Linked DNA regions of Sus scrofa. The main gene of each other region encodes a partner of the protein of the gene in region 4 in a complex. Links are inferred from orthologs where the notes say so. Each region holds a gene or a part of one and is shown on either strand. Other genes may lie near its edges.

The links.
Region 1: GAS8 (region 4) and DRC1 share a complex: the UniProt entries of both Homo sapiens proteins name them as parts of the nexin-dynein regulatory complex. The link is inferred for Sus scrofa from reciprocal best matches to the Homo sapiens genes DRC4 and DRC1.
Region 2: GAS8 (region 4) and IQCG share a complex: the UniProt entries of both Homo sapiens proteins name them as parts of the nexin-dynein regulatory complex. The link is inferred for Sus scrofa from reciprocal best matches to the Homo sapiens genes DRC4 and DRC9.
Region 3: GAS8 (region 4) and DRC7 share a complex: the UniProt entries of both Homo sapiens proteins name them as parts of the nexin-dynein regulatory complex. The link is inferred for Sus scrofa from reciprocal best matches to the Homo sapiens genes DRC4 and DRC7.
Region 5: GAS8 (region 4) and IQCD share a complex: the UniProt entries of both Homo sapiens proteins name them as parts of the nexin-dynein regulatory complex. The link is inferred for Sus scrofa from reciprocal best matches to the Homo sapiens genes DRC4 and DRC10.
Region 6: GAS8 (region 4) and TCTE1 share a complex: the UniProt entries of both Homo sapiens proteins name them as parts of the nexin-dynein regulatory complex. The link is inferred for Sus scrofa from reciprocal best matches to the Homo sapiens genes DRC4 and DRC5.
Region 7: GAS8 (region 4) and FBXL13 share a complex: the UniProt entries of both Homo sapiens proteins name them as parts of the nexin-dynein regulatory complex. The link is inferred for Sus scrofa from reciprocal best matches to the Homo sapiens genes DRC4 and FBXL13.

What each region holds. Positions count from the first base shown.
Region 1 is NC_010445.4:112,583,665-112,587,164, forward strand, and holds part of DRC1 (dynein regulatory complex protein 1), read right to left. Parts: intron 2,208-3,500; coding exon 2,060-2,207; 3' UTR 2,012-2,059; intron 500-2,011; 3' UTR 356-499; intron 23-355; exon of another isoform or gene 1-22. UniProt on the Homo sapiens protein: Component of the nexin-dynein regulatory complex (N-DRC) a key regulator of ciliary/flagellar motility which maintains the alignment and integrity of the distal axoneme and regulates microtubule sliding in motile axonemes.
Region 2 is NC_010455.5:134,581,623-134,585,122, reverse strand, and holds part of IQCG (IQ domain-containing protein G), read left to right. Parts: 5' UTR 1-21; coding exon 22-29; intron 30-1,041; coding exon 1,042-1,309; intron 1,310-3,500. UniProt on the Homo sapiens protein: Component of the nexin-dynein regulatory complex (N-DRC), a key regulator of ciliary/flagellar motility which maintains the alignment and integrity of the distal axoneme and regulates microtubule sliding in motile axonemes.
Region 3 is NC_010448.4:19,613,413-19,616,912, reverse strand, and holds part of DRC7 (dynein regulatory complex subunit 7), read right to left. Parts: intron 3,343-3,500; coding exon 3,184-3,342; intron 2,225-3,183; coding exon 2,006-2,224; intron 1-2,005. UniProt on the Homo sapiens protein: Component of the nexin-dynein regulatory complex (N-DRC) a key regulator of ciliary/flagellar motility which maintains the alignment and integrity of the distal axoneme and regulates microtubule sliding in motile axonemes.
Region 4 is NC_010448.4:92,487-95,986, forward strand, and holds part of GAS8 (growth arrest-specific protein 8), read right to left. Parts: intron 2,019-3,500; coding exon 1,809-2,018; intron 59-1,808; coding exon 1-58. UniProt on the Homo sapiens protein: Component of the nexin-dynein regulatory complex (N-DRC), a key regulator of ciliary/flagellar motility which maintains the alignment and integrity of the distal axoneme and regulates microtubule sliding in motile axonemes.
Region 5 is NC_010456.5:38,695,647-38,699,894, forward strand, and holds the start of IQCD (IQ domain-containing protein D), read right to left. Parts: upstream 2,801-4,248; 5' UTR 2,611-2,800; intron 1-2,610. UniProt on the Homo sapiens protein: Component of the nexin-dynein regulatory complex (N-DRC), a key regulator of ciliary/flagellar motility which maintains the alignment and integrity of the distal axoneme and regulates microtubule sliding in motile axonemes.
Region 6 is NC_010449.5:39,285,527-39,289,637, forward strand, and holds the start of TCTE1 (T-complex-associated testis-expressed protein 1), read right to left. Parts: upstream 2,801-4,111; 5' UTR 2,356-2,800; coding exon 2,079-2,355; intron 765-2,078; coding exon 196-764; intron 1-195. UniProt on the Homo sapiens protein: Component of the nexin-dynein regulatory complex (N-DRC) a key regulator of ciliary/flagellar motility which maintains the alignment and integrity of the distal axoneme and regulates microtubule sliding in motile axonemes.
Region 7 is NC_010451.4:102,976,487-102,980,379, forward strand, and holds the end of FBXL13 (F-box/LRR-repeat protein 13), read right to left. Parts: intron 833-3,893; coding exon 643-832; 3' UTR 501-642; downstream 1-500. UniProt on the Homo sapiens protein: Substrate-recognition component of the SCF (SKP1-CUL1-F-box protein)-type E3 ubiquitin ligase complex.

The DNA.
Region 1 (3,500 bases), on a different chromosome or scaffold from region 4:
AGCCCTCTGGGTCAGGACGAGGCTTTGGGCAGAAAAATTGCTTAGAGGCCCATTGACTCTCCATCCTCTACCAAGCAGGGGCCAGGATCTCCACGCTTCTACTCTGGTCGGAGGTGGGAGGGGACCCCAGGAGCCTCGCCCACTAGAGCAGCACACCTGCCCTGAAGCCCGGAACAGCCAGGCTTGGGGGGAACCGAACAGGGCAGGCAGAGCCAGAGGACAACCCTACACGCAACACTACATACCCCCAGCAGGAGCTGCAAAGGCAGCTTTTCTCTCCAAGAAGCTTTTCTCTTTTCTCCCTTCCACCTACTGCAGGCTCCCTCCTCCCCCTGGGCCGCAAGTGCACACTCACTGGTACTTCTCCAAGGCTGTGTACAGAACGTCCCAGAGGCTCAGCGTGGCAGCAGGGATAACCGTGGTCAGCGCCCTCCAGTACTCCGAGTCCTCTGAGGCATCGCGCACACCCTTCAGCAGCTTTGCTGGTGCCCGAAAGTCCCTGAAAGGCAAGAGCGCAGGTGCCATCCTCTCCAGCGCGCCCGACGCGGCGCCCGCCCCCCCACGGACAGATTGATTTTCCACCTGCCGCCTTCCCGCTCCGCTCTGCAAGTTCATCAGATCCTGAAGAGTCTCAGAAAGAACACCTGCTGTCATCAATGTTCCTGATTCTTGGTGCCCTTGTCACCTTTGTGAAAGCATCACTGGAGTTTCCTGCAACCTCTTTCTCTCAATCGATTTTCCTCGCTGGCTTTGTAGCTCATTGCTCTGCCCATTTCTTCCACGAATGCAGCCACAACAGCCTTCGAAATGTGTTTTCTCCTCCGCTTCCCCTCTAGGATGGCCTGCATCCAGGCTCTCCCCGCCCACGGGGACAAACCTTCCCACTGCTCTCCTTGTGTCCAGCAACAGCCCCTCCCTCCCCACCACCCAAGTCATCTTTCTAAAATGCAAGTCTGCTCACTGCTCCCTCAAGGCTTGAGATCTCTTTCTGGCTCTGGTTCACCAACAGATAAAGACCAAGATCTTGGGCAATTTGGGCCAGGCTCTCAAGATCTGGCCTTGCTCATTTGACCCAAGCTGCACCCGTGGCATATGGAAGTTCCCAGGCTAGGGCACGAATCAGAGCTACAGTTGCAGGCTAACGCCACAGCCACAGCCACAGCCACACAGGATCCACACTGAGTCTGCCACCTACACCACAGCTCACGGCAACGCTGGATCCTTAGCCCACCGAGCAGGGTCAGGGATCGAACCCACAACCTCCCAGACACTCTGTCAGATGCTTAACTCACTGAACCATAATGGGAACTCCTGTCCATGGTTTTTGGCACCAGCTGCTTGTCAGGCCGCCTTTAGAGGCAGTGCCAAAGCCAGTGCTGGCTTCACAGCTTACAGGGCTCTTCCATATGAATTTTCTTCTTTATTCCTAATGCCAAAGCTTGCGGCAACATTGGATCCTTAACTCAGTGAGCGAGGCCAGGGATCGAACCTGCGTCCTCACAGATACTATGTCAGGTTCTTAACCTGCTGAGCCAGAGGTTCTTGAACGAGACCTTTCCCTGTGCTGTGACACCCTGAAATGCACTCCCCCCACCTTGTCCACTGAAGCAAACACTGCAGGTGCCATCTCCTCCCAAGACCCTCTCTGACCACCTCTGGTCACCAGTGGAGGTGACCACTTCCCTTTGAGCAACTTGACACCCTGTATATGCTTTGACCACTGTTCCGATCACAAGGTGTCATCCCCATAGGACTACGCACACACACAGCAGACCCCAGCAGATGTTTGCTGAATGAATGGATGACGAATGAACACATGCAAATCGATTCTACACTCCTTTCCTTCCCTGTAATGTCCATGGATTCCTCTCACCCTCCTTCTGGACGTCCCTGTACTCAATCCCCCAAGTTTGGGCTCAGCAGCCTCTTCTTCCCTCCCCGGCACCGGCTGGCCCCCATCCCCTCCAGCTTCCCCAGTTCCCGGGCTGAGTCTTCCAGCCCTGCAGCCCACCTGGGCTTCCTCAGACCCATGACAAAGGCCTCCAGAATCTTGAGGACATCATTGGGGTGGATGAGCACGGGAGAACGGGGGGGCTCCTTCTCTGGTGGCTCTCCTTCCCGAGGCTTCCCTCCACGAGGCTTCCCTCCCCTCCGCCGTGGTCCAGCAGTTCCTCAGGCTCCAGGGCTGATACCAGGCTTGTTTGCTCCTGTAGGGAAGGCACAGATGCCAGGGGCGGATCTGGAGAGACGTACAGGGTAGCCGTGGGTGGGGGGCACACAAGCAAGAGTGTGTGCAGACAGACAGAAGGAGAAAAAATGGAGAAAAGTTTACAAAAAGTTATAGAAGTTACAGAAAAGATGCAGAGGGAGGAGTTCCCATTGTGGCCCAGCGAAAACAAATCCGACTAGGATCCATGAGGCCCGGGGTTCGACCCCTGGCCTCGCTCAGTGGATTAAGGATCCGGCATTGCCTTGAGCTGTGGTGCAGGTCAGAGATGTGGCTCAGATCTGGTGTTTCTGTGCCTGTGGCTGGTGGCTGCAGCACCAATTGGACCCCTAGCCTGGGAACCTCCATACACCGTGGGTGCAGCCCTAAAAAGACAGACAGACAGACAGACAGAAAGAAAAGATACAGAAGGAGATATTTACACAAGGAAAGAAATAGTGAGGAGAAAGCGAGAGGGCAAAGGAAGTCAGGACCAGGCAGAGGCAGGTAGGGGCTTTAAAACCATGATAATGTTCTCTTCCTAAATCCAGTTCACAGGTGTTCATTTTCTTAATATTCATAAAGCTTACATGGTATAAATATCTCCACTCATAATACAAATTCAATTTTAATTTCTAAATTAAAAAAAAAAATCCTCCTCCTCCAGCATCGAGGTTCCGCGAGTTTATTTCTTACAGGCAAACCAATATTTATTTGTTTGCTTGTTTGTTTTCCTTTTTCAGCCGCACCCATGGCATATGCAAGTTCACGGGCCAGCGATGGCATCGGAGCCACAGCCGTGGAAACACCGCATCCTTTAACCCACTGCACCAGGCTGGGGCTCAAACCTGTGCCTCCACAGCAACCAGAGATGCTGCAGTCAGATTCTTAAGCCACTGTGCCACAGTGGGAATTCCAAGTTTCCAATTTTTTAATTAACACTGTAGAACATTTTTAACAGGATGACTTCCTCAGCATAGCCAATTAATTACAACCAAGATAGACATTAAAGAGTTCCCGTCGTGGCTCAGCAGTTAATGAACCCGACTAGCATCCCTGAGGACGCGGGTTCGATCCCTGGCCTCACTCAGTGGGTTAAGGATCTGGCAGTGCTGTGGCTGTGGCATAGGTCGGTGGCTACAGCTCCGAATAGACCCCTAGCCTGGGAATCTCCATATGCTGTGGGTGTGGCCCTAAAAGACACACACGCACACACACACATGTTAAGATAGACATTAAAAATGAGCCCAGCTTTGCAGGAAAGTGTTACAGATCAAATGTTTGGAACTTGGTG
Region 2 (3,500 bases), on a different chromosome or scaffold from region 4:
AACAAAACTAATTCAAGAAGAATGGAAGAGTATGTTCCAATTTCCAATTTATTATATATATAATAAATAATTATATAATTATATGTAAATATATGTTATACACACACACACATATATTCACGTATAATGCCTTAGGGAGATCTCATAGGTGCAGCCCTAAAAAAAAGCAAAAAAAATGCCTTATGTTAAATATCTGTATTATTTACCTATGGATGTGTAACAAAACTTAGTGACTGAAAGTAAATCATTTATCATTTTATACAGTTTCTGTGGGTCAAGAATTTGGGAGCAGTTTAAGTGGTTGCTTCTGTTTTGGGGTCTCTCAGAATTTGAGGTTGGCCAGGGCTGCAATCATCTATAGACTTGACTGGGTCTAGAGGATCCACCTCCAAGATGGCTCTTTTACAGAGGTGGCAAGTTGATGCTGGCTGTGGGCAAGAAGCTTTAGCTTCTTAGCATCAGGAACCCTTCACAGGACTCCTTATGTGTCCTCATGACAAGGAAAGTGGCTTCCCACACAGCGCTATGAGAAAGTGATGGAGAAGCTTTAATGTCTCAAAATCACCTAGCCTTGGAACCCACAGTATCATTTTAGTTACATAGGTTAGTCCTATTCAATGTGGGGAAGACTAGACAAGGGCAGGAGTACAAGAAAAAAATCATATGGGTCACCTTGGAGACTGGCTGCTGTGTTTCATCTTCCAATAATCGAGACAATTTTGGTTAGTATCTAAAGATGTTGCTAGAAAAAAAGTTTATTTTGGCTCAAGTTCAAATTGATTAAGCATAGTCAGCATAGCCAAATAGCCTGGGCTACATATCTTTATCTTTATTAAATATGAAGTTACTTGCCTTTGGTAGGTGAGAATGTCACTGTGAAGTATTTAGCAGAATCAGATGCAAACTACTTTTGTTCATTATGTTGGTTATATTATATGATAACATGGACTTTGCAGGAGCCAATCTACATGCTGCCTGCGCTTTTAAGTAATTTTTAAACATTTAGCGGCTGAATTATTTTTTCTTTTATTCTTTCTTTAGAGGTCAACAGGAAACCTCAAATCTTCCTCCAGATGTTTGGCACTCTGAGGTGACAGTGTCAGTCACAGGGGAACCACCTACTGCTGCAGAAGAAATTGAAGAAACAGCCAAAGAGACAGCCAGAGAAATCACACCAGAAATCACAAAGCCACTCTCCATTGTAGATGTGCTGAGGATCTCTGCAGTTCTGGAGGACACCATAGACCAGCTCTCCATTCTAAACTATATCATGCCAGTTCAGTATGAAAAAAGACCAAGCAGCAGCATGGTAGATACACTCACTATTACTTAATTTTAGCTTTCCTTTCTTTTTGTTTCCCCATCATTTTCAGTACCTACGCCATTAAGTTTAACTTGGGAAATAACACCTTCATATCAGGTGAAGGGCTACAGTAAATATCTGAGATGCTTACTCTCAATTAATAGAGTGAAACAGACATAGCTTTAGGTGCATTACCAGTCAGAAAATCCATTTCTTCCAATATGTTGGCATTATTCTATTTTTTTTTTTTTGTCATTTTTTGGGCCACTCCTTCGGCATATGGAAGTTCCCAGGCTAGGAATCGCAGCTGTAGCCACCAGCCTATGCCAGAGCCACAGCAACATAGGATCCCAGCCACGTATACAACCTACACCACAGTTCATGGCAACGCTGGATCCCTAACCCACTGAGCAAGGCCAAGGATTGAACCCAAAACCCCATGGTTTCCAGTTGGATTCATTAACCACTGAGCCACGACGGGAACTCCTGTTGGCATTATTCTAAAAGGCCTATAGAGGATTTCCCGTCATGGCTCAGTGGTTAACGAATCTGACTAGGAACCATGACATTGTGAGTTCGATCCCTGGCCTTGCTCAGTGGGTTAAGGATCCGGTGTTGCCGTGAGCTGTAGTGTGGGTCGCAGACACGGCTCGGATCTGGCGTTGCTGTGGCTCTGGCGTAGGCCGGCAGCTACAACTCTGATTAGACCCCTAGACTGGGAACCTCCATAGCTAAATCAGTGTCAATACTATATAATATATATATTGAGGCAATCTGCTAAGTAATTGCATTATCTCCCCTATCTTGTATTTCTCAGATACTAAAAGCTAACTGAAAACTAGGGGGAGGGCCTTTAACTGGACCCTCTCGACATTGCTTTAATCTAAAATGACTTTGTTATTGCTAAACATGTTATAGTATGCTTTTCTGAATATCCAGCCATATCATGGTGTCAGCCATTACATTTTCAATGATGTTCTGGATTCCTCCTCAAAGCACCACTGAGATAAAAAAACTCAACTTGATAGTAAGCAAAATCCTTATAAATTCTTAAAGCTTTTATAAATTTTAATTACTTAGGTTGTAGATGTAAAATAGAGAAATTTATACATACAAACACATATTAAGTTTTAACAAAATTACATTGTATAATTTGCACAGAATATACTCTTATTTCCGATTCTATGATAAATGAAAATTGCTGCAGGCAATTCCTGTTGTGGCTCCATGGTAAGGAACCCGACTAGTATACATGAGGAAGCAAGTTCAATCTCTGGTCTCACTCAGTGCTCTGTGGTGTAGGTCACAGACATGGCTCGGATCTGGCATTGCTGTGGCTGTGGCATAGGCTGGCAGCTGCAGCTCCAATTTGACCCCTAGGGAACCCCTAGGCCATGGGTGCGGCCCTAAAAAGAAAAAAAAAAAAAAAAAAAAAGAAAATAAAATTTCTATGTAAATGAAAGGATAAATTGGTTTTCACATCTAACAGAAAAGATGTCCATATTTATTGTAACTAGCAAATTAAATTTCCCTTTAATTGCTCCTTACAATTTAAAAATTATTATTATTGTTAATATATGTATATTCTGGGTTCATAAAGCTTTTATTAAAGTTTTTAAAGTTTATACAAAATTTCAATAGGACATTAGATTTGGAATCAGGAAACCTTTATGATTTAGTTGTGTACTATGAGCAATTTATTTCACTTTCTTGGTCTTAGTTTTCTCATTCGTAGGTTGTGATGGAGTTTTAACTAAATGATGCATATGGTCCCTTCCAGTGCTAACATTCTATGAGTTTTGGGGTAGTTTTAAAATGTTAGTTAATGGGTATTATAGGAATTTTAAAACAAATTCATTTCCTTTTTAACTTATGGAAAGCAGAGATAGTGGAAATCCAGGAACTAAGCCTTTCAATGTATTGAAAATGTCTAATCCTTAAATTAAGCTAGTTAAGATATAATACAAAATCAACTATAATGGAAAAAATTTTTAAAAAAATAGTACAGAAGAGACTAGTGTTTCCTTCCTATTGTCTCCTTCAGTAAGAATCACAAATAAGAAAGGAAGATACTCAGTTAACAAGATAAAATTGTGGGTTTTTTTGCAACAGGGTTTTTTAAAATTTTTTTATTTTTTTGTCTTTTTAGGGCTGCACCTGCAGCACATGGAGGCTCCCAGGCTAGTGGTCTAATTGG
Region 3 (3,500 bases), about 20 Mb from region 4:
GTTACCCCTGAGCCACAGTGCTGTTTTAACTTAACATTCTATTTCTATAGAAAAAGCATAAATGAATGGACAGCGACCCTGTCCCAGGAGCCTGGGGTGTCTTGCTCTCTCTCTGTGCAACGCTCCACATCCCCAAGGCCATTTCAAGGTTCTTTGAAGGACAAAGCAGCCGCTCCCACAACATTGGGCAGTAAAAGTGACAGCCAGTGTCCTGATCTCTTTCTCATGCCCTCACTTGGTGACCCAGTACCCCTCTGGCCTCACTTTCTCACCAGGCCCTGCTTCCATCTTTATAAATTCTATTATCCCTGATATGAATTTCCTCCACCTGGTGCTGGGGGAGACTGAAGGACCTTCCGCCCTTCCGCCTAGAGGAGGGCAAAGGAGGGCTGCAGCAGCCTCTGAAGGGCTGTTATCCTTCAGAGAGCTCTGACAGCCACGACAGCTACCAGCTGGGCTCCAGGGAAGGGCAGTCTGCCCATCTTGTGTGGCAGAGGGAGGCTGAGGGTGGGCATGTCTTCGTCACTGAAGATGGAGGCACCTGAGGTGGTGCATCCATTCTGCTTGCTTCCCACATGTGGGCAACAGCAGTTCCTTGGATGGGGTCATTTTGGCGCTGGGAGCCAAGGGCCCCACACCTGTCTTTGGAAAACTGGCCTCTTGGAAACAGAGGAACTTGGAAATAAGCGCACAGACCTTGGAGCCTGGAGCCTGTCTCCCTTTCGATTTGTGTACAGCTCAATGAATTTCCATGAATTGGTGCACTCTGATTCCCTGAATTCAAGAATTCCCTGATTCAAGAAACAGAATCTTGTCCCCACCCCCAGAAAGTCCCCTGGGATCCAGTTATGACCTCCCCCCAAATGTGTGCATGTATTTTGAATTATAAGTGGCAATGCATTTTTTTTTTTTGTGGCACTGTGGGATTTTTTCTTTTTGGTCTGTCTTTTAGGAGCCACACCCATGGCATATGGAAGTTCCCAGGTAAAGGGTTGAATTGGAGCTGTAGTTTCCGGCCTACAACACAGCCACAGCCACATGGGTCTGAGCCAAGTCTGCAACCTACACTGTAGCTCACGGCAACAATGGATCCTAAAACCCACTGGACAAGGCCAAGGATTAAACCCAAAACCTTATGGGTACTAGTGGGATTCTTTACTCTCTGAGCCACAAATGGGAACTCCTGTGTTTCTTTTAAACAGCCACACCCACAGCATATGGAGGCTCCCTAGCTAGGGGTCAGATCAGAGCTGCAGCTGCAGGGCTATGCCACAGCCACAGCAATGCCAGATCAGAGCTGCTTCTATGGCATATGCCACAGCTTTCAGCAACACCAGATCCTTAACCCACTGAATGAGGCCAGGAATAGACCCCATGTCCTCAGAGAGACTATGTCAGGTCCTTAACCCACTGAGCCATAATGGGAACTCTGGCACTGAGTTTTTAAATGGAAATTCATGGAGCCAGACATGTAGGATGAGTGCATTTTTCTGCATATATGTAGCACTTAAACACAACATTTTAAAAAGCGTAAATGCGCTAAAAATCTACATTCTCTAAGTACATATAATTCAGACTTTTGGTTTTTTGCTTTTGGGGCCACACCTGCGGCATATGGAGGTTCCCAGGCTAGGGGTCGAATTGGAGCTACATCTGGCAGTCTACACCACAGCCACAGCAACACCGGGTCCGAGCTGCGTCTGCAAACTACACTCAACCTACAGCTCATGGCAACACCAGATCCTTCACCCACTGAGTGAGGCTAGGGATCAAACCTGCAACCTCATGGTTCCTAGTTGGATTCATTTCCACCACGCCACGACGGGAACTCCTAAGTACATACAATTCAAAGGAGCGACGATAACCCCATTGGAGTGGTTACACATGGGGGAAGGAGTGGGCCCTGGGCACTCAGCTACAGGGAAAGTCTGAAGCCCTCCTGGCCTAGTAGCCAGCTCTCCCCACAGACTGTGCCCGCCACACCCGCCCAGGCCCCCTCCAGCACCTTGCAGCAGTTCCAACAGTCCTGCATGTTGACCCAGTAGTTCTTGTGGTTCCAGAGGCTCTCGATCCCCAGGAAGTGGTCATCATCCTTGCCGTAGCTGCGTGCAGTGAACGGGTCAATGAAGAAGCTCTCAGGCACCTCGCGTTTCCCCGCCAGCACCAGCACCCAGGAGTGCACCCGCAGGCCGTGCAGGGGGTCGGTCTTTGCACTCTCCTCCTCCTGTGAAAGGTGGGTGACCATGAGCCAGATAGATGGGTTCCCAGGCTAGGGATCTAATCAGAGCTGTAGCCCCCGGCCTACGCCAGAGCCACAGCAACGCAGGATCCGAGCCGCGTCTGCAACCTGCACCACAGCTCACAGCAACACCGGATCCTTAACCCCCTGAGCAAGGGCAGGGATCGAACCCCAACCTCATGGTTCCTAGTCGGATTCATTAACCACTGCGCCACGACAGGAACTCCTGAGCCTGTTTTCTTGCCGACAGAATGCAAGGATCTGGCTCCAGCTGCGGTTTACAAACTTGCCTTTTGGAACTCGAGGGTATCTGGGATGTACTGGCTTTCTGTGCTGTGATTCTGGGTGAGATTTCACCCAAAGAAAGAGAGGAGGTACCCTGTGGTTTCTTTATCCCCATCCCTCTGGGAAAGGGTCACTCTGCCATGTTCTCTGTTGCATTCCGCAACATGGACCCTGGTAGACCCTCGATAAATAGTATATGGAAGGAAAGAGGGAGGAAGGAAAAGAAGGTAAGAGGGAGGATGCATGTGCGGGTGGACAGAAGGAAAGATGGGAACATGGATGGATGGAAAGAGAGATGGGAGGACTGACGGATGGAAGCGAGATGGGAGGATGGCTGGGAGGATGGATGCAGAGCGTACCTAAGTTTCTTCACTGAGCGGCTGGAATGAGGAGGACCCCAGAACTGCGCAGCATAGAACGAACTGCCCAGACAGCTGAGCTCTCTGCCTTTAAAAATCTGTCACGAGCAGCTTGCTGACCACGGCTGGGGATTCCCACATGGCCCAGCAGAGGTGGGGGGTGGTTGAGGATGGAGGAGGGGATTTGAACCTGGGGGCCCACCAGCACGTCCCTCGGTGACCTGTGTCTGTTTCCCATTCCTAGCAGCCCCTCCTCCAGAGCTGAGCTCCAGGGCTGAGGGCTGAGGACGGGGGACCCACCATGAGGCGCTCCTCCTCCTGCCTCAGCCGCTGCTCCTCCTCAGCCTGGATCGCCTTCTGCCTCTTCATCTCCTGCTCCTGCTCAAACCTGCTGCTCAGGTCCCTGGGCGGTCTGATGGCGTACTTCTTAGGTGGTGCCTTTTCCTCCTCCTGGACCGCCTATCACCAGACAGAGAAAAAGCATCAGCAGCCCTGAATCGCCAGCGGCCCCTGGAGCCTGCTTCCCGCCCTGAGTGCAGGGAGAGCCTCGGCCCCAGACCTGAAACCTGGGCAAGCCCTTCCACTTCCCTAACCTCGGGCTCTTCTGTAAAATGTGA
Region 4 (3,500 bases):
CGCGCGCCAGCTCGTACTGTAAGTCCTGGATGGTGCTGTTCTTCGCCTCCAGGACGTCCTGCGGGGAAGAAGGCAGACAGGGAAGAGCGCCTGGCTCCCCACGCGGGCGTCCACACAGGGGGCAGCTGGCGTGGGAAGGTCCCCAGGACACAGAGCTGCTTTCCGTGAGGAACTGCCCGGTGGAGGGGGGGGCGGCAGCCCGGCCTCCCTCTGGAGCCATCCGGGCTGCCAGCCGCATCCCAGGAAAGCCCTCAAGCCTCTCCTGCCAGGTCCTGGAGCAGCTGCCATAACCACAGGGGACAGGACTGGGTTTTTTTTTTTTTTTTCTTTTTTCTTTTTAGGGCCACATCCATGGCATGTGGAGGTTCCCAGGCTAGGGGTTGAATCAGAGCTACAGCCTCCAGCCCACGCCACAGCCACAGCCACGCAGGATTCAAGCGATGTCTGCGACCTACACCACAAGCTCACGGCAACGCCGGACCCTTAACCCACTGAGTGAAGCCAGGGACAGAACCTGTGTCCTCATGGATACTAGTCGGGGTTGTTAACCATTGAGCCACGACGGAAACTCCGGGGAGCGGTTTTTATCCCTTCATCACGGATGCTGGCGGCACAGGGCCTCGTCCAGCTGCAGGACCGGCTGCCTTTTCCCACAGGAGAGGGCAAAGCCCTTCTCCCCTTTGTGAGCGGCAAGGACAGACATGAGCCCCAGACTCAGACTGTGGTGCTGCCGCCCAGACGAGGCCCCCTCGTGGCTGCAGAAGCCCTGACCCCAAGAGCTTGGCACCCACTGAGCCAGGACCCACCACTGCCCTGGGAGCAAACACCAGCCAGAACCACAGGCGCGACAACGCCTCGGGCCCAGGCCCTCCTCCACCGGCAGCAAGGCCTCGCCCTGCCCCAACCCTGCCCACCTCCCTGTGGCTCTGACCCCATCTGCTTCCCTGGGAAGGAAGAACAGGGACAACAGGGCTGTCCCCCTGGAAGGGTCCGTGTCTGGGACGGGCTGGCCGTCCCGCAGAGGGCCTCTCCCTGGAGACTGTCCACTGCCCAGAGCCAGGCCACGTTTCCCTGGAAGCAACAAAGGCCCCCTGGCCAGCATCACCTGTACTTTCTGTGACACCTCCCACCCAGGTCAGGGAGCGGAGGGGCACGACCCAGCTCCAGGTAAGGTCACTAGCAGGTACGGTCAAGGTTCTGCCTGCTGAGTTGTCTTGACTCTCATCTCATCCACTGGCCCATGGACACCGAGGCCTCTCGGGTCCTTTGACTGCTGTGCCCCGTACCCTGGACGGCCGCGGCAGAGGAACTGCCGTAAATGACTGGACGTGCAGGTGAACAGATGCTCTAGCTGCTGCTCAGACCCATCCCTCTGGGATGCCTTGCCCAGCAGCCACCACAAAGGCACGCCCACAGCCCTGTGTCCCCCACCCAGAGCCTAGACCAGCACATGTTATTGTTCCAGACAGGAGGTGGCAGTGGCCTCAGGTGAGAGCTCAGGAGACGAGGCCATCCAAGAGGCCTGAGAGACCCAGGGCCTGACAGGCTGAGCTGGAGCGGACAGTGTGGACTTGGGCTCAGAGCAGGGGCGGGAAAGAGACAAGGGCAAAGCCACAGAGCCCAGGGATTTGACGGTGCACAGAGGCCTGGGAGCGCGGAAACCGTGAGCCCCTCCACGAGGTTAACGAGAGCCTCAGCTGGGACGAGAGGCTGGACCACAGCGTGGGGCCCCGACCAGAGCCCTACCGGCCCACTGTGGGGGCCCGGGGGTGCTGGCAGCCCTGCCCAGGAGCCCATCTGGGGCCTACCTCCAGCTTGCGGGACACGAGGGTCAGAGCCGAGGGGTCCAGGTTGGAGGCTGCCAGCACCTCACTGAACTGCACCTCCTTCTGCTCCACGGCAGCACTCAGCGCCTGCACCTTGCGCTCCAAGACAAGGTTTTTGAAGCCTGTCTTCTGCTGCACCTCCAGGATGGCGGCGGTGAACTTCCGGTACAGCTCATCCCGCTCCTGCTGCACCTGCAGGACGCACCTCTCACTGGCAAGAAGTCCCCTCCCGCCTCTGCCCCTGGGCCACGACACACTTCTTTCACCAGTGCCAGCCCTGGGCGGGGGGGATCTGTGTCATCTACACTGCCTGAGCCCCACTCACCCTGACAGAATTAAAGGGAGGCAGCTGTCTACACTGTGGGAGGCAGGAGGACACACCTCTGGGGAGCTGTCCCCGGTACAAGCTGGAGGCCAGCGCTGTCCCAGGTCTGCGCCGTGGGCTACACCACGCCCTCCGTCATCCCCACACAAGATCCAGGGCATGTGGGGCAGGGGGCCTCTTAGGGGTCCACGTCCCTGCCAGCCCCAGATCCTGGAACTCAGGTCTAAAGTGAGTACAGGAGCCAACTGCCCATCCATCCAGGCAAGCATCCTTTCATCTCCTTTTAACTGTGCGCCACAAAAAAATCCAGACTGAGGAGCTTAAAACATCAACCCCACCTCCAGAAGCCACCATGGGAGCATCGTTGGTGACTCCTTCTAGAATGTCCTCCACACCTGTAAAAACACATGTGTCTGCTGGGAAGAAAAGAGGACTGTGCTGGAAGCTTGGTGCACCTTATCCTTCTAACTAGGATCAAATCCCCAGGATCTGCTTCATCCAGTCCTGGAGGAAGAGGGAACCGCTATGTTATTCGGGCAGAAACGAACTCAACACTGTAAATCAAAAGCAGTTCAGTAAGACTTAAAAAAACCAGCCAGAAAGGCCATCACTAAAAAGTCTACAGACAATAAGTGCTGGAGAGGGTGTAGAGAAAAGGGAACCCTCTCACACTGTTGGTGGGAATGTAAATTGGTGCAACCACTATGGAAAACAGTATAGAGATTCCACAGAAAACTAAAAATAGAATTATTATTTGATCCAGCAATTCCACTCCTGGGCATTTACTCAGAGACAACCATGACTCAAAAAGATAAACATACTCCAATGTTCACTGCAGGACTATATACAACAGCCAAGACACAGAAACAACCTAAATGTCCATCGACAGAGGCATGGATCAAGAAGATGTGGTGCATATACACAATGGAATATTACTCAGCCCTAAAAAGGAACGGCATTTGCAGCAACATGGATGGACCTAGACATTACCATGCTAAGTGAAGTCAGTCAGACAATGAGACCCCAACATCATATGGTAACATCCGTGGAATCTAAAAAAAGGACACAGGGAACTTCTTTGCAGAACAGATGCGGACTCACAGACGTTGAAAACCTTATGATTTCCAAAGGAGACAGGTTGGGGTGGGGGGTGGGCTGGGGTGGGGATGGCTGCACAGCTATAAACGTGAGAAAATTCACCGAGTTACAAAAAAGAAAATAACCAGTTTAAAAATAAACAAATTTCTTTAAAAAACCAGAAGGTGACACTGACATGCGCATGTACTGCAGACCACAGGCACTCGGGGAGGGTGGCACAGAGCACAGCCCCGGACACACTCTGCCTTCTC
Region 5 (4,248 bases), on a different chromosome or scaffold from region 4:
GAGCTGTAGCCACCGGCCTATGCCAGAGCCGCAGCAACTCGGGATCCGAACCGCGTCTGCAACCTACACCACAGCTCACGGCAACGCCGGATCGTTAACCCACTGAGGAAGGGCAGGGACCGAACCTGCAACCTCATGGTTCCTAGTCGGATTCGTTAACCACTGTGCCACGACGGGAACTCCTCCATGCTTTTTCTTTAATGCCCTTTATTGCGTTCAATAAGTATTTTTAGTTCACACTTCTGATTTCTCTGTTGATTTTTAAAAATATTTTAGAGTTTTTTCTTAGTGACTGATTTAGGGATTATAATGTGCATCTCAATTTATTGTAATCTACTTTGGAATGCTAAATATTTTCTGTTTGATGTGATGAGTCACTGTTATCAAACCCTCTTTTAATTATTTAAACATGGTTTCCTGTAGCTCTTTGAACAAATTTATAATAGCTTCTTTGAAGTCTTTGTCTGCTAAAGCCAACATCTGGGGACACCAAGAGACAGTGTCTGTTGATTGCTTTTTTCCCCCTGAGTATGTTTACACACATCTCACAATTTTTATGGAACACTAGAAATTTAAGAGGGAAGATTATTTATTTGGAGAAACTCTGTATTTTTTTCTTGCTAATGGTTGTTTTTCTCATTTTTGTTTCACTTGGGTGTTTCGTAATTATTTCCTGGATTCAATTTGTCAAGTTGGTCTCCTCCACAATGTGCAGCCACTGATGTTTCTGCTTATTTTTTTTTTCCATATATGTGTGTGTGTGTTTTCATTTTTAGGGCTGCACCTGGCTTACGGAAGTTCCCAGGCTAGAGGTCCAGTCAGAGCTGCAGCTGCCAGGCTAGGCACAGCCATAGCAACTTGGGATCCAAGCTGAGTCTGCAGACTACATCACAGCTCACAGCAAGGCTGGATGCTTAACCCACTGAGTGAGGCCAGGGATCAAACCCACATCCTCATGGATACTAGTTGGGTGTAACCTGCTGAGCAACAATGGGAACATCTCCATATTTTTTATTTTTAAGCCTGGCTTCCTTGGGGTCGCCTTGGCATCCACATAGTTTAATATCTGGCCAAAAATCAGTTAGAGGTGTGCTCAAACTTTGAGCCAGTAAGGCTTCTATTCTTCACTGACAAGGGCAGCACACACTTAGCATGTACTTCTATAAGGCTCCAAAGGCCAGGGATGTCTAAGTGGTTTGGGCTAGCTCTGGTCTCTGCTACACCTGTGCATAACCTCTACTCAACCAGGATATAGAGAAAGTTCATCAAGCCCTCTATGGCTGTCTTATTCCCCAGAACTCTGAGCTTTCTCAGCCTATTGTTTGCAATAAATAGGACTACAACCTTGGACTGCTAGAGCTGCTGGCCTCCCCTGTTCTCTTCCCACCAAGATTGCCAGTTTAGCCTGCAATCCTCCAGATCAAGGGAGCCCCATCAGACAGTGACAGTGAAACTATTCGTTTTCCAGGGCTACTTGCCCTGGTTGAATTATTATGCCAATAGAACTGGGGGTTGGGAAATCAGAGAAGTCTTACATAAGTACAGCACAAACTTGAAGTTCAGTAGTTTTATGAATAAAAGCTCTCAGTTTGCTGTATGCCTTTGGTTGATTTGCAGAGTTTTAAAATAGCACTAGATAGTTTTATCCAGCTTTACAGCTGTTTCTTTTCTTTTTTTTTTTTCTGGCAGTACCCAGCAGTGGCATGTGGAAGTTCCCAGGCTAGCGATAAAACCCATGCCATAGCAGCAACCCGAGCTGCTGCAGTGACAACACTGGATCCTTAAGCTGCTGAGCCATAAGGGAAGTCCTATAGCTGCTTTTAAAAATTATCATTGTGGTAAAATATACATAACATAAAGTTTACCATTGTGACCATTTTATTTTATTTTTTTTAAATATATATATTTTTTATTTTCCCACTGTACAGCAAGGGGGTCCATTGTGACCATTTTAAATTCAGTGGCATGAGGTTATTACATTCACATCTATATGCATCCATCACCACCATCCACCTCCAGAATTTTTCATCATTCCAAACTGAAACTCTATACTCATTAAATAATAACTTCAAAAATAATAACTTCTTGCTTCCCCATTCCTCTAGCCCCCATTAAACCTCTGTTTTACTTTCTACCTTGGTTAATTCTCACAACAAACCCTTTGTCTTAAGTATGTAAATAAAATCATATATTAGGTACCCAGCCGGGAGTGAAGTTCTAAAGTTAGCATAGACTTGGTATAATCAAAATTATCTAAACATTCACTTTCATTGCATGCTCACCCTGGGATGTACAGCCGTTGAGTGGAAAGTAAGAGGACTCATAAACCACTCTCTGACCCTTAGCACCTGTGTCTGACTTGAAAGTAATTAAACTTGATTTGACTCCACTTGACTAGTATCATCCACGTTTTACGGATGAGGAAGTGGGACCATGAAGTGGACAAGTGGAGATCCAGACTGGGGCCAGTGCTGGAGAGCAGGGTCCTGAGGCGGGGACAGGTTCGCCGGTGGGGGACTACTGATTCCTAAGAAAACCAAAGGATAGAGAGCTCCATTCGACATTCCCCCCCCCTCATCAAATCCAGCCCTTCCCCACGGGGTCACTCACCTGCTCCAAGGGCTTCAGTTTTTCTACTAAGTGATTACCACTTAGGTGCCTGCGTTGCTAGGTTACTCGCCAACCTCAGAAGGCGGGACTCGGAGTCTGATTGACTTTCCTTTTCGCCATTCCATTCCTTATTCCGCTCAGTTCGCTCCACCTCCTTTGGACTGACCAATCAGAACCACAACCTCTCTAACCCTCCACCAATTGGAAGGCCCGAACCCTCCGGGTTGGACTCAATGAGTAAGGAGGGGAGAATGGGTAGTGGAAAGAGGCGGAGTTTCTTCGTCCCGCCTCTCCTCGAGGAGGCGGGCAGAGAGTTCTGCATTAACAGAGGGCAAGAACTTGCGAAGGACTTGAGGCTTGACCAGTCAGAGCGCACCATGACAGCTTGATAGCCAATAGGCCGCAGCAAACGGGGAATGGGGCGGGGCCGGCGGGGGTGGAGAGGACAGTAGGCGGTGGATGGGAGAGCTGGCGCAGCTGCTGTGGTGGCGGCGGCTGAAGTGGCGGTGGCTGCGGCGGCTGCTGCAGCTGCAACAGCTCCGGGCTTGGGGCTTTGGCGGCGGCGCCGGCGGGCTGGGCTGCGCAGTGCGGACCCCGGCGCGCGGTCCGGGTTGCCGGGGCGGCGCGTGTAAGAATCCAAGGGGTGCGAAGGGTGGCCTGAGGGAAAGGGCAGGGGTCAGGGGTCAAGGGGCTCGTAGTGCGGGGTTGCGGCTGGGCATAGGGATGTGGGAGGCGGGCAGGCGGGCCCAGAAGGGCTGTGGGGAAGTCATCGATGGGCTTCTCTCCCTCCAGCCCTGGTCTGGGGGCCCCCGCATGGGTATAGCAGGGGAAAGCCCGGGAAGGGGAGAGGGGTCGCAAGGCTGCGCACGTGGAGCAGGAGCTCGCACTCCTCTTCGCTCCCCTCCTCCCTTATCTGCTCGTTTCCCAGGCGCCCTCAGGCTACCCACCCCTCTAGAGACTCCTAGATGGCGGGATGGCTGCTGGCCCTCTTTCCCTGGGACCTGTCCTAGGGGTGACCCTTCCCTTCTGGGTACTCGGTAGAGTGGGTAGCAAAGCCCGCAGGAGCGCTGGGATAGGACTCAGGAGTCCTGCACTGTGACCACAGGCAAGTCCCTTCTCTCCTGTGGGCCTCACTTTTCCCTCTCTGTGAAATGATGGGCTCGAATTCGGATGAGGGAACTGGTCTGGTAAGAGATGAAGGGTAATGGTTAAGCAGAGAAGGTCCCAGAATTCAAACTGCCTGGGTTTAAATCTGGGCTCTATCACTTCCCATCTAAGCCTTAGTTTCCTCACCTGTGAAATGGAGACATTAGCTTTATTCCTTAACAGCAGCACTATTCACCTTTCGAGCTACATATTTCTAGGTTCTGATGGGTCTCAGCTGTGTATTGTAGGTTGTTTTGGTGCATCTCTGGCCTCTGCCCACCAGTACCCCCATCCCTAGTTGTGACCATCAAAAATTTCTCCATACATTGCTAGTGTCCCCTGAGAGGCAAAAATCACTTCATCTGAGAGCTGCAGAACTCATGCATCCATTGCAAGCAAGCAGTCATGCAGTTAAAATAAACATAGTCATACAGTTAAAATAAGTTATAATAAGCTATTATAATGATGATAAAATTAAGAAAAACCTTGGTG
Region 6 (4,111 bases), on a different chromosome or scaffold from region 4:
AACCAGCAAGGCAATGCTTTGCGCATCTCTGCATCCCCAGGACCTGGCTTGGTGCAGGGTGCACAAAAGGAGGCTTGGTCAATGAGTGAGAAGGAAATAGAAGGAAGATGGGGATGGAAGAGGAGGAAGGAAGGGGAGAAGGAGTCAGAGAGATGCTGGAATGGGAGGTGGAGGGACACTGGGGACAGGTGGTACCTTGAGGGTGTGGCACGCCTTGATGGTAGCCGCCAAGGAGTGACAGTCACGGTAGGTGAAGAGGAACAGGTTCCACTCGAAGTTCATGCCACAGTCCTTGACACCGTACACTAGGTCCAGCTCCTCCAGATGGTCCAGGCCAGCCACCAGGTCCCTCAGCTGGTAGTGGTCCATGGCGGGCTCCTCCATCTCTCCCTCACTGCCAGAGTCTGACTGATCCCCGCCATGGGGCGGGGACGGGAGCTGCACGGGTGGAAGGAACTGGTCCACCCGGATGGTGCGGACATAGTTCCTGCAGAGCGGCAGCAGGCTGAGGATCACCTCGGGGTCCGTGGTGCTGGGGATGAAGTGCTTCAGCAGGTTCTCCAGGTGCAGCTCAAAGAACATGCGCTTCCAGCTGCCGCCGTGCTCGTCCACGTGGCACACGGGCCAGCGCTGCATGCAGCAGCGGCGCCAGTAGTTCTCGTCGTCAATAAGGTTGGCAGTCACAGCCAGTGGCAGGTCAGGGGGCAGGTGGCTCAGGACCTTCTTCTGATGCTCTGGGAGCAGCTGCTTCAGGATAGGGTTGTCTTTGGGAACAGAAGCAGGGAAAGTAGGACTCACAGTGTGGGGGATGCTGCACATGGTGCCCTGGCCTGGGCCTGTCTGGATACCTGGACCTGTCTTCAGGGAGCCTTAGCCTAAGAGGGGAGGCAGCCTTTACTCTCATGGGAGCTCCGTCTGAGGGAGATACTGCCCCTAACTCTGGGGTGTTCCTGTTTGAAGGGGGACATCTTAGCATCTGGTCTCAGGGAACTCCCAGTCTGAGGCAGAATCACAGGTCCACCCCTCAGTTATTCCTTAATCTGGTAGAGGAGACAATCCTTGACTCAGAAGCTCCCAATTTGATTTGACTCATTCATTATAAAACAAACAAGGTTTTCTTTGTCTTTTTAGGGCTGCATCCACGGCATACAGGAAGACTCCCAAACAAGTTTTTTTGAGCACCCACTATGTACCACAAGCTTCTCTAGGTGCTGAGGATACACAAGTGAGCAAAACAGGAGTTCCTGTCGTGGTGCAGCGGAAACGAATCCAACTAGGAACCATGAGGTTGTATGTTTGATCCCTGGCCTCCCTCAGTGGGTTAAGGATCCGATCCAATGTTACCCTGAGCTGTGGTGTAGGTTGCAGATGCGGCTCAGATCTGATGTTGCTGTGGCTCTGGTGTAGACCGGCGGCAACAGCTCTGATTAGAACCCTAGCCTGGGAACCTCCATATGCCATGGGTGCAGCCCTAGAAGGATAAAAGACAAAAAAAAAAAAAAAAAGAGTGAACCAAACAGAGGAAGCCACTCCATCTTATGGACAGAGGCAGACAGTAAACGAGTCACATGAATGTACTATAGGTCTGGTGGTGAGAGATGCTGTAAGCAAAATGATGGCTCTGTCCTCAGAGAGCTTTCTACCCAGTAGGAGAGGCTGGCAACTGATCTTTGAGAGCGATGAACAGAGGCTAGAGTACAGAACAAACCCAGAACCTAAGGATGCTGTGGAAGACTCCAAGAAAGTGGAGGATGGTCAACCAGGGAGGGCTTTCTGGAGGAGGAGGTAGATATGGTTCGGGCTGGGCTTTGTCAGGGAGAGTGGGAAAGGTGAGGAGGGGCCAGAGACATGGAGGGCATGGTGTGTGTGTGTTGGGGGCTGCTGGAAGGGGACAGGAGGAGAAGCTGTCCTGGTCTCCAGGGCGGGGGGAAGGGAAGTGTTGAGTGGGAATGAGGACGCTGCGTGGGAGAGCAAGGGCTGCCTGAGGACCCAGCTGTGAGGCCTCGCCGGCGGCAGTCCAGCCTACCCTACCCCACTCCTGGCCTTCTCTCTTTCACCCCAGGCAGGACCAGACTCACTCTGAAAGTTCTTGACAATGTGCTGAATGCAGAGCTCTGTGAGAAGGGGCACGATGGCCAGTGACCATTCGGTATCCTCAGCGATAATCCTGCGCATCCGATGTACACCAGCCCCAGAACTCGGGCCCTTGGGCTTCACCGGGGGTGCGATGGTTGGGGGCTTTGAGGGCTGTGGGCCTGTGCTTGAAGCTTGGCCGGTGGTGGAGGATCGGTCCTGGGTGGAGGTTGAGGACCGGCTGGGGATGGACAATGAGGGTGTTGTCTGGGTTTCCTGCATGCTGGGGACTGGCAACACAGGGACAGGTGGTCCCTTGGTGATGGCCTTGTGACCGGGAGTTTCTCAGACAGGCTGGTCCTTGATGCTGGTGGGAACCTGGAGCAGGAGGAGTTGGGTTGTTACTTTGGAGGCATTTACCAAGAGATGTAGTACAAGGTGGTTCTTAAGGATCAGTCTCCGGATTAGAGTAGATCCAAGTATAAATCCCACTAGCTGGGTGGCCTTGGGCCAGTTGCTGAAACTTGTTGAGTTTCAGATGCCTCCTCTGTGAAGTAAGGACAACAGTTACTGATAAGATGATTGGGAGGAATGAATAAAATAATGCATCCATAGAGGCATAATATATACTGTGACACATGAGATTATAGCAAGCAGCAGCCCCAGAGTTTAGACAATAATAGTGACACGGCAATTACAAGAAACTGCTGGAGTTCCTGTCATGGCTCAGTGGTTAACGAATCTGACTAGGAACCTTGAGGTTGCAGGTTCGATCCCTGGCCTTGCTCAGTGGGTTAGGCATCCGGCGTTGCTGTGAGCTGTGGTGTAGGTTGAAGATGCACCTCAGATCCTGTGTTGCTGTGGCTGTGGTGTAGGCCAGCGGCTACAGCTCCGATTTGACCCCTAGCCTGGGAACCTCCATATGCCACAGGAGCGGCCCAAGAAATATCAAAAAGACAAAAAAAAAACCAACAAAAAACAGAAACTGCTGTATGCTGGACACTCTTTTTAGTTTTTTTTTTTATGCATATCAGCTCATTTGATGCTCATAAAAGCCTTTTTGAGATAGGCACTCATATTAGTCCCATTTTTCTGATGTGAAAGTGAAGTACAGAGAGGTTAATTACTTGTCCAATGTCACACAGCTTGTAAATAACAAGGATGGATTTAAACTCAGTCTATCAAGTTTGGCCAAGTGACCCAAGTATGAAAAAGAACTATTTAGTTCAAAACCCTCCCTACACCAAGTATTTTATAGAACTGCGACTGCCTGACCAGGAGGAAGGGATTGAGAACAGCACTGGACAATAGATGTATAACAGATGCCAAAACTCAAGCCACATATACTATTTAAAAATGCCTTTGAAAAAAAAAGGCGGGAGTTCCCATTGTGGCTCAGCAGAGCCGAATCCGACCAGGGTCCATGAGGTTGTGGGTTTGATCCCTGGCCTTGATTATTGGGTTAAGGATCCGGTGTTGCCATGAGCTGTGGTGTAGGTTGCAGTCTTGGCTTGGATCTGACATTGCTGTGGCCGTGGTATAGGCCGGTGGCTACAGCTCTTAATTCAACCCCTAGCCTGGGAACTTCCACATGCTGTGGGTGCGGCCCTAAAAAAAGCAAAAAAAAAAAAGGTCTTTGGAATTTCCACTGTGGTTCAACGTTAACAAACCCAACTAGTATCCTTGAGGAAGCAGGTTTGATCCTTGTCCTCTCTCAGGAGCTGTGAGCTGTGGTGTAGGTCACAGATGATGCTTGAATCTGGCATTGCTGTGGCTGTGGCATAGAGCAGCAGCTGCAGCTCTGATTTGATTCCTAGCCTGGGAACTTCCATATGCCGTCGGTGCGGCCTTAAAAAAAAGGAAAAAAAAATGTCTTGTACATACATTTAAAAAGTAGAGAAAACAAGTGAATTTTATATTTAATCCAATATGTCCAAAATATCATTTACATATGTAATCAACATAAAAATTATTAATGAAATATTATACATACATATATTTTAATACTAAGGCTTCAGAATCTGATGGCTAGTGGCTA
Region 7 (3,893 bases), on a different chromosome or scaffold from region 4:
CACTGAGCTGGGCCTGCGATTGAACCACATCCTCATGGTTCCTAGTCTGATTCGTTTCCACTGTGCCACAATGGGAACTCCAATAATTCCTATTTCTATTTAATTTCCTCCATTAAGTCAAATGTTGAGATGAGCCCAGGGTTAATTGGCATTTAATTCTGTCCTGTTAAGTATCTGGAAATCACTAAAAAGCCTCATTTCCTTTAAAAAATATTTGTCTATGTCTTTTATAATAAATCCTCACAATCCTTACCTTAAAGTCATTGCCCTGATTTAAACATTTAGTCTGATTTATATGGCTATTTGCTTTCTTTTCTAAAGAGAAGCTTCTAAATTCCTTGTCAAAAATGTACAACTGTACAAATGTACAAATGTAACATTAGACTTGAGAACCTCATCAAAACTATTGGTTTGATTAAGGTAAATTTAAGTGGAAAATTTACATAGTGCAGTACTTAATTTGGCTTTTTTTTAATCATGATTATTAGACAGAAGAACTAATAGATGTATTTAGAAACATTTGTAGCTGGAATAAGAATCTGGAGATGATTTGCTGCTTATTTATATTGTTAAGATCCAGTTAGTAAAAATACTTGCATCAAGTGAAGTTGCCAAGTTCTAGGTTTTTTCCATTCTTCCTGTTTAGGCTGCTACTTCCTCTTCACTGCTGTATGTTGACTCATTCAGGGTCAATTCTGAATCTTTAAGTGGTTTTATATCTTGTTCCTCTGTGAGAGGCTTGCCTTCAAAATCATAGCCAAACCAGTGTGGAGGGTCAGCAGCACTATACTCCTGCTGCTGAACCATAGACAACATTTTCTTAGCTGCCTCCCTGTAATAACAGTGATGAGCATTAGCTAGTTGTAGATGTAATCGCTAGGGCAGAATTCTCAAACTAGATCATATTTGGAGTTAAAGAACTATCACAACTTGAGTTCACATATCTCTTGCCTTCCTGAGGAGGGGAAGGTGTGGGTAATTGTGTTGATGATCAGGATCCTAAAACTTAAGTAGTTCAGTAGTTCTCTGGTTCAGCCAATTCTGAGATGACTAGAAAAGCAAATGGGGAAGGAAACTGTGTGTGGGAACATTGAGTGCACTCTATTGCACTTCTGAGTTAGCTTTCTGCCTGATATTTCCAGTTTCTTTGATGAGGGAATATCCTAACCAGGCAACCTGTGATGGCTGGCTTTGCCCCAGAAGTGGAGTTCTTAACCCAGAGTCCACAAATCCCTTTAGATATGTGGATGAATTTCAGAGAGGCCCATGAACTCCCTGAAGATTCATGCAGTTCTGTATATACTTTGTGTGTGTGTGTGTGTGTGTGTGTGTGTGTGTGTGTGTGACTTTCAGCAAATTCGCAAAGGTGTCCATGACCAAAATGGTTAAGAATACTGTTACTCTATTTCTTTGGAGGAAGGAAGCAAAGAAGGCATCTAAAAGTTGTTTGGGACCCCAATTCCAACATAGCTATAGAGGGTGGTGTTCCCCAAACCACCAAGAAATTCTCAGACACCAGTTGAGCGTCCTACAATTCAGCTCAGTTCTGACATTATCTACCTCGAGAAAGCATTACATTCCACAGATGAAGGGCCTAGTCCCACAAGACCACCCTCCACTTCAGATACCAATGGCAAGTCCAGATTGTCATCTGGGCTTCTGAACTTACCACATAGAGCTGCTCACAAAACTCAGAAACATTTTACTTACTGGATCACTTGTTTATTATAAAAGGATATAACTCAAAAACAACCATCTATGCATAGGGCAAGGTATGGGGAGATGATGCTGAGCTTTATGCTCTCTCCAGACATATCACTCTCCCCAAATTTCTGTGCATTCAATCAATTCAGAAGCTCCCATTTGGGTTTTTATAGAGGCTTCATTACATAGGATGATTGACTAAATCATTGGCTGTAGGTCACTGATTCAAGCTCCAAACCCTCATTTCTCAAAAATCAGAGGATGGGACTTAAAAAGTTCCACCCTTCTATTCATGGTTGATTCTCTAGTCGACCAGCCCCCCCATCTTTAGGTGCTTTCCAAAAATCACTTCTTTAACATAAATTCGGTTGTAGTGGAAAGAGTCTCGTTAGAAATAGGACACTCATTTCACTTTATGGCTCTGAATCACTTTCAGGAGCTGATGATAAGAAACCAAGTATTAAAAGACAAAAAAAAAAAAAAAAAAAAAAAAAAAAAAAGAGTTCCCGTCGTGGCGCAGTGGTTAACGAATCCGAGGAGGAACCATGAGGTTGCGGGTTCCGTCCCTGCCCTTGCTTAGTGGGTTAACGATCCGGCGTTGCCGTGAGCTATGGTGTAGGTTGCAGACACGGCTTGGATCCTGCGTTGCTGTGGCTTTGGCGTAGGCCAGTGGCTACAGCTCTGATTCGACTCCTAGCCTGGGAACCTCCACATGTCTCGGGAGCGGCCCAAGAAATAGCAAAAAGACAAAAAAAAAAAAAAAAAAGAAGAAGAAACCAAATATTATGATAAAAGATCTTTCTACTGTTCTTATCACTTAGGAAATTCCAAGGTTTGGGGGGGGAGCTCTGAGCCAGGAACTGTGCAGGAAGTCCAAATATAAGTGGAAAAATATATTTTGATCATCTGAACAGCCAAATCACATTATTGCAGCATAAAAAAAAAGTATATCTAACTTGAAAATAATGTAATTTCCAAGATAGAAGGATTTTCCTAGGAAGTTGGTTTGGATCTTGAGACTAGTACTAAAAAGGAAATGAGTAATTGGCAACTTCTGTATTATCACAAAGAAGTAATGAGAAGTTCCCTTCATGGTGCAGTGGAAACGAATCCAGCTGGTATCCATGAAGTTGCAGGTTCAATCCCTGGCCTCGCTCAGTGGGTTAAGGATCCGGCATTGCCATTAGCTGTGGTGTAGGTTGCAGATGCAGGTCAGAACTGATGTTTCTGGAGTTCCCGTCGTGGCGCAGTGGTTAACGAATCCGACTAGGAACCATGAGGTTGCGGGTTCGGTCCCTGCCCTTGCTCAGTGGGTTAACGATCCGGCGTTGCCGTGAGCTGTGGTGTAGGTTGCAGACGCGGCTCGGATCCTGCGTTGCTGTGGCTCTGGCGTAGGCCGGTGGCTACAGCTCCGATTCGACCCCTAGCCTGGGAACCTCCATATGCCGCAGGAGCGGCCCAAAAAAGACAAAAAGACAAAAAAAAAAAAAAAAGAACTGATGTTTCTGTGGCTGTGGCATAGGTCAGCAGCTGTAGTTCCAACTGGACCCCTAGCCTGGGAACCTCCATATGCTGCTGGTGAGGCCCTAAAATGCAAAGAAAGGAAGGAAGGAAAGAAGGAAGGAGGGAGGGAAGGAAGAAAGGAAGGAAGGAAGGAAGGAAAGAGAGAGAGAAAGAAAGAAAGAAAGAAAGAAAGAAAGAAAGAAAGAAAGAAAGAAAGAAAGAAAGAAAGAAAGAAAGAAAGAAAGAAAAAGAAAAAAAAAGAAAGAAAGGAGTAATGATGTTTGTCCATAAAGGGGCAACTTTGCCTGCTATGGCTCTGTTACATTGAGTTGTTGGTTGCAAAGGTTTGGAGACCGAGTCCTTAATAGGAGGTTGGTATCATATGCTTTGAGTCAAATTTGGGTTCACCGGTAAGGCAATGAAATCAGAGAAGGCCATGATACATCAGTTGTTTAAAAAACTGTTTCATCTGAATCAAATCCTGGGTGTATTAAAATGTAATCAAACTAAGCAGGGAGACAACAAAAGCATTGCCAATTTTGTCTCTTACCATATTGCTTTTTGGCTAATCTATTTGCACTCACAAAACTTAAGTTTTAAAGAACAATTTGAGCAAAAGCAATTGTTGTACTAATATCTAGTTCTGAGCCACTAGTCCCTGTGGATTAGAACTTGATAAACAGGTG